Linked DNA regions of Xenopus tropicalis. The protein of the gene in region 1 interacts with the protein of each later gene in a biochemical or structural test. Links are inferred from orthologs where the notes say so. Each region holds a gene or a part of one and is shown in the gene's direction. Other genes may lie near its edges.

Region 1 (3,655 bases):
GGTTCTCCTCATTGGAGCAATAAATCACTATATGTTCCCCCCAGGGGACAGAACCGTGCTGTTTGGGGCACATATAGGGCCTTTGGGGAGGGAGATCTGCAGCCCAGGGAACTCTGGTGGGGATCGGGCCTGGGCTGATGGGGCCCACCTGGCTACTGATGGGGCCCCAATCCTGGCTACTACTGGGGGGGGCGCAGGGGTTTAAGCATGAACGGGAATGTGGAAAGAATGTTCTACAGAATGAATAAATCTGCAGATTTATAACCAGGCAAAAATCCTTTATATTATTTACATGTATGGGAGGGAGCTGCCATATAGTTTTCCTTAGCTCCCATTACAGTGGCATTATATATATATATATATATATATATAGCGACTGCAAAATGATCTTTGTTCCATCTTGGAGTCCCTGCTGCTTATGGCATAGAGTAATGCACCGCATTCTGCCTCTATGGCTCTGGGGGGTTTATTGCTTTATATCTCTGTATGTATGTGTATATATATATATATAAATATGTGCATTTCTCTCTGCTCTTCAGATCCATTCCCCCATGAACTCGGTCAGCAGCACAGAAGACATCAAGCCTCCTCCGGGAATCAACGGCATCCTTAAAGTACCGGCCCATCCCTCAGGACCTATGGCCTCTTTCACCAAGCACATCTGCGCCATCTGCGGTGACAGATCTTCAGGTAGTGATTCCGGGTCTGCTAATGAGCTTTCTGCAGGGGGAATGGGCAGGAAAAGAGTGTGACAGTACAGTATGGGGGTACAGCTTATTGTGTGCCCAGAACATTCCTTCTCTGTATATTTGTATTTATACATATGGGTAGGAGGTGCCATAGTGTTTCCCTTAGACAGTACAGTATGGGGGTACAGCTTATTGTGTGCCCAGAACATTCCTTCTCTGTATATTTGTATTTATACATATGGGAGGGAGGTGCCATAGTGTTTCCCTTAGACAGTACAGTATGAGGGTACAGCTTATTGTGTGCCCAGAACATTCCTTCTCTGTATATTTATATTTATACATATGGGTAGGAGGTGCCATAGTGTTTCCCTTAGACAGTACAGTATGGGGGTACAGCTTATTGTGTGCCCAGAACATTCCTTCTCTGTATATTTGTATTTATACATATGGGAGGGAGGTGCCATAGTGTTTCCCTTAGACAGTACAGTATGGGGGTACAGCTTATTGTGTGCCCAGAACATTCCTTCTCTGTATATTTGTATTTATACATATGGGTAGGGGGTGCCATAGTGTTTCCCTTAGACAGTACAGTATGGGGGTACAGCTTATTGTGTGCCCAGAACATTCCTTCTCTGTATATTTGTATTTATACATATGGGAGGGAGGTGCCATAGTGTTTCCCTTAGACAGTACAGTATGGGGGTACAGCTTATTGTGTGCCCAGAACATTCCTTCTCTGTATATTTGTATTTATACATATGGGAGGGAGGTGCCATATCTCAGTATCTGAGTTTCATAGTTAGTGAGTGAAGTGAGTTTTCTTTCCCCGTTTAACTGTTTATTGCCCATGGATAGGGGCAGTAAATGGCAAAGCTGTAGCTGGGTGTCAGGCCGTGGGCGCAGGGAGTGGGCTGCGCTCTCCGATCGATGGGCCCTTATGCGTTGCTGCTGCCGTGCAGATCTGATTAATGGCAGAGTTCAGAACAAGCCCCTCTCGTGAGTTTGATGAAATCATAAAAGGAAGTTTGTGGTGCCCGGGGGGCTGCGGCCGAGGGGGGGGGGGGCCTTGCACTTTTTCACGTGTCTGTCTCCACCGTGTCTGGCGTGTGGTTGCAAGAGGCAAAGAAGGGAATCTATTATGTTATTTAAAGCTTATTGCCAGTCAGAAATGACCCTCAATGAATGTGAATGAGGAAATGGGAAAGGAATAGAAAGCGCAGCATCTGGAACGAGCGGCTAATAAATGTCCATTTAGCCCCGGGCAGATTGTCCCCGAGCGAGCCCACGCTGCCGGAAATACCAGTTCATCCTACATGGCAATTGCATTATGCATAAATTCCCAAATGTAACAGAGGCGGGGGGTTGTCTGAGCTTGCTGGGCTGATTTAGGAAGGGGTTGCTAGGGTAAGCGGGACCCTAGCAACCAGAGTAGGGTAAGCAGGACCCTAGGAACCAGAGCATAAGGTAATTTTGTTTAATTCCGCAGCCAAGGATCTAATGGAAAAGTGGGAGAATGGGTACAGAGAATGCTGGGAAATGTAGTCCAGCAATAGATGTGTGGGAAAAGGCTTTATTAATGTCATGTTCTCCCACAATGCAATATGTCAGGGCTGAAGCACCCAAACATGCTGCATATTCTCCTATCCCCCCAGAATGAATACGTAACAAACAGACAGTTTATATTATGTTTATTGACCTATTAAAGAATCTCCCCAAACTGGAATATATATATCAGTAAATATTGCCCTTTTACATCCTTTCCCTTGAGCCGCCATTTTGTGATGGGCTGTGTGTTCCCTCAGAGATCACATGACCAGAAATAATGCAGCTCTAACTGTAACAGGAAGTAGTGTGGGAGCAAAAGGCAGAACTCTGCCCATTCATTGGCTGATGGGGCCTAGTATGTGTGCCTTGGCTTGTTTATGTGCACTCTGACCAGGGTCGGACTGGGCCGCCGGGACACCGGGAAAATACCCAGGGGGCCCCAGTGGCCCAGACCTGACCCTATTGCTGCTTTCTCTGGCCTCCAGTGTCGGACAGGGGCCCCTGCGGGGTGGGGTTAGGGGTGCGCGGCGGTGGGGGACGTGGCCGGAGGAGGCACCTTGGGTGGTGCGGGGCCACGGTGGGCCCTTCACCCCCTAGTCCGACCCTGTCTGTGACTCCTATGATCCCAGGGGGTGGCCCTTAATTCTTAAAATGGCAGTTTTCTATTTAGGATTACCCAATGGCACATACTGCTAAAAAAGTATATTTTTATGAAACTGGTTTATTGAGATGAAGCAGGGTTTGGGTTTACTTCCCCTTTAAACTGCACCGCGCCCCAACCCCGCGGCTAGGATAAGCATGTGACCGCGCTATCAAGATACGTCGGCCCCTTGCGATCAATAATAATAAAGCGATTGTTTCCCACACGTCCCCGCCGCTCAGTCATTAGTGGCAAATGCCCAGGTGTGCCGACCTGTCACATTCCTGGCGTGATTGGCGTCCGCCTTGGCCGCTGTATCTAGAGCAAACAGAGCCGGCTGCCAAAATAGCAGCTGTAGGTAGGGCCCATGACACACAGCTATTTATACGCAGGAACTCGCCGCGAGGAGGGACCGTTTAAAGGGACAGCGACACGGAAATACGCAGTAATATTCTGAGATAATTTGCAATTGGTCTTCATTTTTTATCATTGGTAGTTTTTTAAAATTTTACTTTTTGTTTTTTTCAGTTTGGAATTGCAGCAGATATATGGTTGCTAGGGTCCAATGAACCTTAGTAACCAGGGAGTGGTTTGAGAGAGTGGTTGATATAGTAATAGTAGAGGGTCTGAATAGAAAGATAAGGATTAAAAAGTCACAATCGCAATAGTTTCTGGTTGTCAGGGTCAGTGACCCCCCCCCCCCCATTTGAAAGCTGGAAAGAGGCAGAAGAAAAAGGTAAATAATTCAGAAATGATAAAAGATAAAAAAAAAATTGGAAAA
Region 2 (3,655 bases), on another chromosome or scaffold:
CTATATTTTTGTTTTTTTAGGGTTTCCACCTCAGCCAGTTGAGCAAAGGTCCTTACAGCAGATCCCTTCTCAGTTAATGCAACAGTTGGGGCAGCAGGCACAAGGCCAGGGGGGGCAACAACCAACTCCTCCTCAGCAAATGATGATGATGCTGATGATGCAACAACAGGACCAAAAGTCTGTGAGGCTTCCTGGGCCACAAGGAGAATTTAACCGCCGCCCATCTCTGAATTCGGAAGCTCAGAGGATGCCTATGCAGCCTGGGGGCAATATGCCTGTTATGGTGAATGTGCACGGCTCTGGCTCGATTCCACCGTCTCCAGACAAGCAAAGGATCCCTATGGCGCCTAATGTGTCTTTGGGAAATAATGGAAGGAAGATGGGATTCCCAGATAGCGGGAATCAGTCAGGGTCACCACTGGGCGAGGCGCCTGCGACATCTTCTCTGACTGATATTCCAGATCAGACAGCAGCTACTGGGCAGCAGAACAACATGCCCTCTCACTTGCTACTTTCCCAGAATCAGCTGATGATGCCTGGGAACAAATCAGGAAATCTTTCCTCTATGACTTTATCTCAAGGGGCCAATCCCCAGCAGCAGCAACATGCCAACTCCATGCCTGGACCTCATGGGCATCACTTTCCGAGTGTGCAAACTCCATCGCAGACATCCAGACCAAAGACTCCAAACAGAGCAAGCCCGAGACCTTACTACCCTCAAACTCCCAATAATCGTCCTCCAAGTACAGAGCCTTCTGAGATCAGCCTGTCTCCAGAAAGACTGAACGCCTCCATTGCAGGCCTTTTTCCCCCTCAGATAAATATTCCATTGCCTCCCAGGCCTACACTAAACAGAGGTTTTGATCAGCAAGGGTTAAATCCAACAACCTTGAAGGCCATTGGACAAGCTCCTCCTGGACTGACTGTAAACAATCCAACTGGTTTTCTCCCATCACACAACATAGTGGCAGGGAAACAGACTGGCAATGCTGGGAACAAACGAGCAAGTCCTAGCAACAGTAGGCGATCAAGCCCTGCTTCTAGTCGCAAAACAACCCCAAGCCCTGGCAGGCAGAACCTAAAGGCCAACAAGTTTGTGCTTGGGCCACAACAAAACCCTGCAATGCTGCACAACCTGGAGATGCAAAGAAATGCAATGCAGGCTCAAGCTTCAATGCAGTCCCTAGTCCCTGGACCTCCAGTTGGTCCATATCCACCAGTTTCTATTCCAGCCACGTGCGGTTTAACGGAAGAGACTAAAGATAGCTCAGCAATCACGCAGGAGGCAGACAGCCAGGCAATGCAAGTTGCCTTTAAGGAGCAAACTGAGGCAGAACTTAAAGCTATGGTTCAGCAAGAACTGAAGACCACTTCTGAAGAGATGTCCAGAAAAGAACTCCATCCCATGGACCCCTGTAAACCTTCCCCTGCAGAAGAGATCAAGCCTATGGTCTCGCCAGCTATGAGAGATGCACCTACGTCTCTGAGTCAGCTGTTGGATCACTCAGCTGCTTCCAGTCTTAAGTCCTCGGTAGTACCTATAACCGAATCACCTCCTTTACAGCTGCTTTCAGATGATCCCAAAATTTCTGACATTCCTCCTGTACCAGAAGATACCAGTAACAATAATGAAGTGGTATCCACACCTAATCCGCTTTTACAAATTGGACCACATGCAGCTCAACCGAAAACAGACGCCATGGAGCCCAGTACAAATGTTTCTCTGAACCTTCCATCTTCTGCAATGAAACGGCCAGCTGGCCAGACATCTGTTTCCAGCTCAGTGTCTCAGAGCCAGATAACTGTTTTTGTCACTTCAAACCCCATCACAACCTCCTCTACCACAACTGGCCCCATGACTTCCCACGTGCAGCAGCAATCGTTAATGCCAACTGTGGTTAATGTGCAGAATATGGGCAACAAGGTCATCGTGTCCGAAGGGCAGCAGGCTTCCCAGTCGACTGCGCGCCCTCAGTTTATCACTCCTGTTTTCTTTAATTCTCCTTCCATCATACAAGTTATGAAGGGATCACAACAAGGGAATATGCCAGTTTCCACTTCAGCATCCAGTTCAAACTTGGCTCCTCAGTCTGTGGCAGTAGTGGGGTCTTTACATATTCCACAGAATATTCAGTTTTCTGCTGGACCACCTTCTTCAACTCCACCTTCTAGTGCTGTCACCAGTATGCAAACAACTCGACCGGTCCTAGTTACCCCTCCTCAGAACACTGCACATCCTGCTCAGTCTCCATCTGTTGTTCCACCACCAACACCCTTTAAAGAGAGCAACAAAGAAGATATTAGTTCTAATTTGGGTGTAGCATCTGAAGAATGCCCTCCAGGACCTTCAAAGCCCATGGTTTCTCCTCCCAGCGATAGCGTAAGGAACTCTACGGCATCATCCAAGGGTCAGCCCAAGGTGGACCAGACTGAGCAGCTTATGTTCACTACGGTCAATAAGAATGTGACTGGTGGCATTCTAAAAGACAGTTTGGAAACAAACAAAGATGAACTTGGAGATGGAGACAAAACTCCCCCATTAGCCAACTTGGCTACTACTGATCCAGAGGTCACCACTGCAATCTCTTCTGACTCTTTATGTCCTCAAAACCCCAGTTCTAAAGAAGGGGTGCCTGCTCCATCTGCTGCTCAGTCATCAATCCATGGGGAGTTCAAGCATGTAGGGAACACTGTACCAGAGAAAAATGATACCACCTTGGATAATGTTTCGGCAGAAACCACACAAGAAACAGGTATGTACTCGACTGTGTACTAGACTAGCCTCCAGCATTTTTATTGTCCATTTTATAGAGATGCCCATCCCACTGGCACCCTAGTGTGAGAAAGGTTACAGTGTGCTAGTTTACTATTCGTTTTCATTTGTACCCCAGCCAGCCTGCAGAATCATGTTACCCCTCCCCACCCTAATATAATAATAATATTATGTTTTGCATGTTAAGCCTCCTCCAAAAGTTCGAGACAAGAAGAACGACCTGCAAGCAACAAGGAGAGCGCTCCAGAAAAACCTGGTGATTTCCTTTAATATCTGAAATTTTTTTCTTCTTTCCTGTATCATATACCTTTCTCTCTTACTGCTGTGTTCATGATAAGCACGAGAGACATTTTTGTTTTGGTCACTCCCCCTATAGCAAAAGTCACTCCCACATTTTCTGTGCCACAATGTTAGATTGACAAACATCAAGGGTTAACAGACTATTTTCTCTTGCAGGGGATGATCCCCAGGATATCCCAGAAAGGTAAGTCATATTTTATTTTACCATCCGCTTACACGGATATTGTAGTTCTTATAATGGGATTTCAATGTGATCTGTGGGATTTTTCTTGACTAGTTCTGCCCATTGGAAAATTTGCTTTATGAATAGACAGGGTTATGCAGCCTTCTATTTGTGCCAACACCCCCAAGGAAAAATGTAGGCCTTTTAGGCCTCACCACTGCCACAGTGGACAGATCTCATTGTGCCATAGGTCAGATCACTTTGGTTTAATATAAGTGAGTATAAACATGAACTGGCAAGTTCACGTATATACAGATTGTTTCCTGTGCTGGTCCGCTTTCTTTCGTTTGCTTCTGCTCATACATTGCTTTTGCACTTTTTACCCACAAACCACAGTGAAGCAACAGAGAGGCCGAAAC
Region 3 (3,655 bases), on another chromosome or scaffold:
AAAGTCATTTTGGCATTTTACTGCCAATATATTTGCAACATTAGTGCCACCTAGAACCCTATATTTATTCAGCAGAAAGCTTTACTATACCCTAGAGCCCTAGAAGCTCCCTCTGATAGCAGCTGCCATTTTAGCTTGGTCTTGGTAGCTTCCTGCTGCATTTATAGCTGTTGGAAGCTCAGATCACACCTAAGGGAGAGGGGGAGTGAGTTCTTGTGCATTCATATGGGAGGAGGAGAGGAGTCCTAAAAGAGAGTTAGTCTGATACTGAAGAACATGTTTTCAAAAAAGAAAACAAGAAATCCTGTGTTTCTTTTGATAGAGGGCTCAGTGCAGTGTTTCGAGGCTTGATCGAGGTGCACCGGAAATCCACGGGGGATCGACTGGGGGACCGTGATCGACGTATTGGCCACCCCTGATTTAACCCTTCTGAATGCTAATTAGCATATGCTAATTAGGATTCGGTTCAGCCGGGACCGTTGATTCGCCCGAAACTGTCCTTCAAAAAAAAAAAAGGCTGTATTCGGCCCGAATCCAGGATTCGGCGCATCCCTAGTGTATTATAATTTTTTATTTTTTGTATAACTTAGCATCGTGGATGGAAAATTTTTAATTGGTAAGCTCCTCCCCCATTATGTAATGTAGTCATTGTGGGAGGGAAGGGAGTCGTAGTCTCTGGCATGATTAACAAGGTCGTTATATGAAGGGAAATGGGCTGGGTGGCAGACAATGCCCATCACTTACATGTTCTATTTTGAGGATTGTTGTGAACAATTCCATTTTCCTCTTATTGCTTGGATTGGAATGTACGAAGGAAACGGGGAAAAAGTATCGGGAAGTGGTGTACTAAAAAAAAAGAAAAAAAATTCACCCTTAATGGATGTTTAAGGAAAAGATACATCAATATTTGTCAGATTTTTAAGTAAATGTTTAATGTATCAAGTGTTATTTCAGTGTACAGGTATGGGATCCCTTATCCGGAAACCCGTTATCCAGAAAGGTCTGAATTACGGAAAGCCCGTCTTCCATAGACTCCATTATAAGCAAATAATTCAGATTTTTTAAAAATGATTTCCTTTTTCTCTGTAATAATAAAACAGTACCTGTACTTGATCCCAACTAAGATATAATTACCCCTTATTGGGGGCAGAACAGCCCTATTGGGTTTATTTAATGGTTAAATGATTCCCTTTTCTCTGTAATAATAAAACAGTACCTGTACTTGATCCCAACTAAGATATAATTACCCCTTATTGGGGGCAGAACAGCCCTATTGGGTTTATTTCATGGTTAAATGATTCCCTTTTCTCTGTAATAATAAAACAGTACCTGTACTTGATCCCAACTAAGATATAATTACCCCTTATTGGGGCAGAACAGCCCTATTGGGTTTATTTAATGGTTAAATGATTCCCTTTTCTCTGTAATAATAAAACAGTACCTGTACTTGATCCCAACTAAGATATAATTACCCCTTATTGGGGGCAGAACAGCCCTATTGGGTTTATTTCATGGTTAAATGATTCCCTTTTCTCTGTAATAATAAAACAGTACCTGTACTTGATCCCAACTAAGATATAATTACCCCTTATTGGTGGCAGAACAGCCCTATTGGGTTAATTCAATATTTAAATGATATTTAGCAGACTTAAGTTATGGAGATCCAAATTACAGAAAGATCCTTTATCCAGAAAACTCCAGGTCCCGAGCATTCTGGATAACAGGTCCCATACCTGTAGTAGGAAAAATTGGTTGTCATATAAAATTGTTTTTTCCCCTTTCCCAACGCACATGCTGTGAGTCACTGACCCGTTTTTACCCTCTCCCATTGGCTGATTCCAGCATAAGCCATGAGTTTGCTATTCGCTACTGACACACACAGCATTGATGCAGAGCAGTGTATCCTCTCATGTCTTCATATTGTAACCCCTTTTATTTTTTTTTTTACAGTGGGGGTTATTCGCTGTCCCGTATGCAGTCAGGAGTGCGCAGAAAGAGACATCATCGAGAACTTTTTTGTCCGAGACACCACAGAAGTTCCCAGTAGCACCGTTGAGAAACCAAGTCAGGTGAGTCCTCCTATTGGTTATTAAAAGGGCAGTTACCATACAATTTAGCTGTGCTATCACCTATCACCAATACCGGTTCTTACAATACAAAACACATCATTTAGCTTTAAGAGTTGATCCTTGAACCCCAGTGGTAGATGTGGAGGGTTTATACCAGTATAATTTTTTTTTCTCTATTTTACTAGACATTATTAACAGTCTAACATACCTCCCAACTGTCCCAATTTTCGGGGGACAGTCCCTCTTTTGACAGCTCAACCCGCAGTCCCAGATTCTTACTGAAAAGTCCCTCATTTCTCTTTGATCTCCTGCACTGAAGCTAAAAAAGATACAATGTTTCTCAAACTTAATTAAATAGGTAGCTTTTGGCAGACAGCCCAGAAATCTTAACGAAGCGCCACCTGCAATTAGATACTTTGTTTCTCACATTTAATTAAATAAATGGCTTTTGGCAGAGAGCCCAGAAAGGTAAAAAGTCCCCCCCTGCACTGAGATACAATTGTAACTAATAAGCTAAACAAGTCTCTTGGGGGAGCTGAGACTCGCAGCTTAAAGAATAAGTAAACCTTTTTTTTTTTTTCTACCAGTAAAATTACTCTAAACAGCCTCCAGAATGACCTACCTTTGTCCCAGCATTCTGTCTGACCTGGCTCCTGAGTTAGAAGTTGTTGTTTCCTTTGCATCCTTGTGCAGAGTGAAGCCCCGCCCCCACTTCCTGTTCAGTTCCCTCATCAAAAAAAAGAAAAAAACTGCTCCTGCTGCCTCCAGGCATGTTCAGAAGGCTCTCCACTTTGACTACAGTAGTCGAAGTGTTGAGGGAACTGCACAAGGAAGCAAAGGAAACAATCAACTTCTAACTCTTGTGTGCAGGTTGGGTGCAGGTCACCATTTATTATTATTAACATTTATTTATAAAGCGCCAACATATCCCGCAGCGCTGTACAATAAGTGGGTTTCACACATTGGACATACAGAGTAACATATAAAGCAATCAATAACCGATACAAGAGGTGAAGAGAGCCCCTGATCAGGCCCAGTCCTCTGCACTAACACTTATATTCAACCATAAAGTGTCTCAACCCTTTCTCCTTGTAGATTGTAAGCTCTTTTGGGCAGGGCTCTCTTCACCTCTTGTATCGGTTATTGATTGCTTTATATGTTACTCTGTATGTCCAATGTATGAAACCCACTTATTGTACAGCGCTGCGGGGTATGTTGGCGCTTTATAAATAAATATTGATGATAATAATAAAGGGGAGTATACTGACCCTTTTACTGGGGAAGATACTGACCTGTATAAAAGTTAAGCAACATTTTAAAGATATTCCATTTTCCTTCTGTGTTTAACACTGAATACATTCTGTGGATTTCTAAACACATTGTTAACTGTTAAATCAGTCCACGCGTGACATAGATATTATTATTATTTATTCAAACCTTTTTTTTTTTCCTCCCCTGTGCCCTTCAGCAAGTGTGTACAAGCTGTGAGGACAATGCGGAGGCTCGGGGCTTTTGTGTCGAGTGCGTGGAGTGGCTGTGCAAGAACTGCGTGCAGGCGCATCAGAGAGTCAAGTTTACCAAGGACC

What was found.
Region 2: the proteins of rxra (region 1) and ncoa6 form a complex in vitro, tested with the Homo sapiens proteins (5 studies listed by BioGRID). The link is inferred for Xenopus tropicalis from reciprocal best matches to the Homo sapiens genes RXRA and NCOA6.
Region 3: the proteins of rxra (region 1) and trim24 form a complex in vitro, tested with the Homo sapiens proteins (3 studies listed by BioGRID). The link is inferred for Xenopus tropicalis from reciprocal best matches to the Homo sapiens genes RXRA and TRIM24.

What each region holds. Positions count from the first base shown.
Region 1 is NC_030684.2:7,937,310-7,940,964, reverse strand, and holds part of rxra (retinoic acid receptor RXR-alpha), read left to right. Parts: intron 1-539; coding exon 540-690; intron 691-3,655. UniProt on the Homo sapiens protein: Receptor for retinoic acid that acts as a transcription factor.
Region 2 is NC_030686.2:41,076,900-41,080,554, forward strand, and holds part of ncoa6 (nuclear receptor coactivator 6), read left to right. Parts: intron 1-20; coding exon 21-2,753; intron 2,754-2,960; coding exon 2,961-3,029; intron 3,030-3,229; coding exon 3,230-3,257; intron 3,258-3,632; coding exon 3,633-3,655. UniProt on the Homo sapiens protein: Nuclear receptor coactivator that directly binds nuclear receptors and stimulates the transcriptional activities in a hormone-dependent fashion. Coactivates expression in an agonist- and AF2-dependent manner.
Region 3 is NC_030679.2:7,785,232-7,788,886, forward strand, and holds part of trim24 (transcription intermediary factor 1-alpha), read left to right. Parts: intron 1-1,950; coding exon 1,951-2,069; intron 2,070-3,537; coding exon 3,538-3,655. UniProt on the Homo sapiens protein: Transcriptional coactivator that interacts with numerous nuclear receptors and coactivators and modulates the transcription of target genes.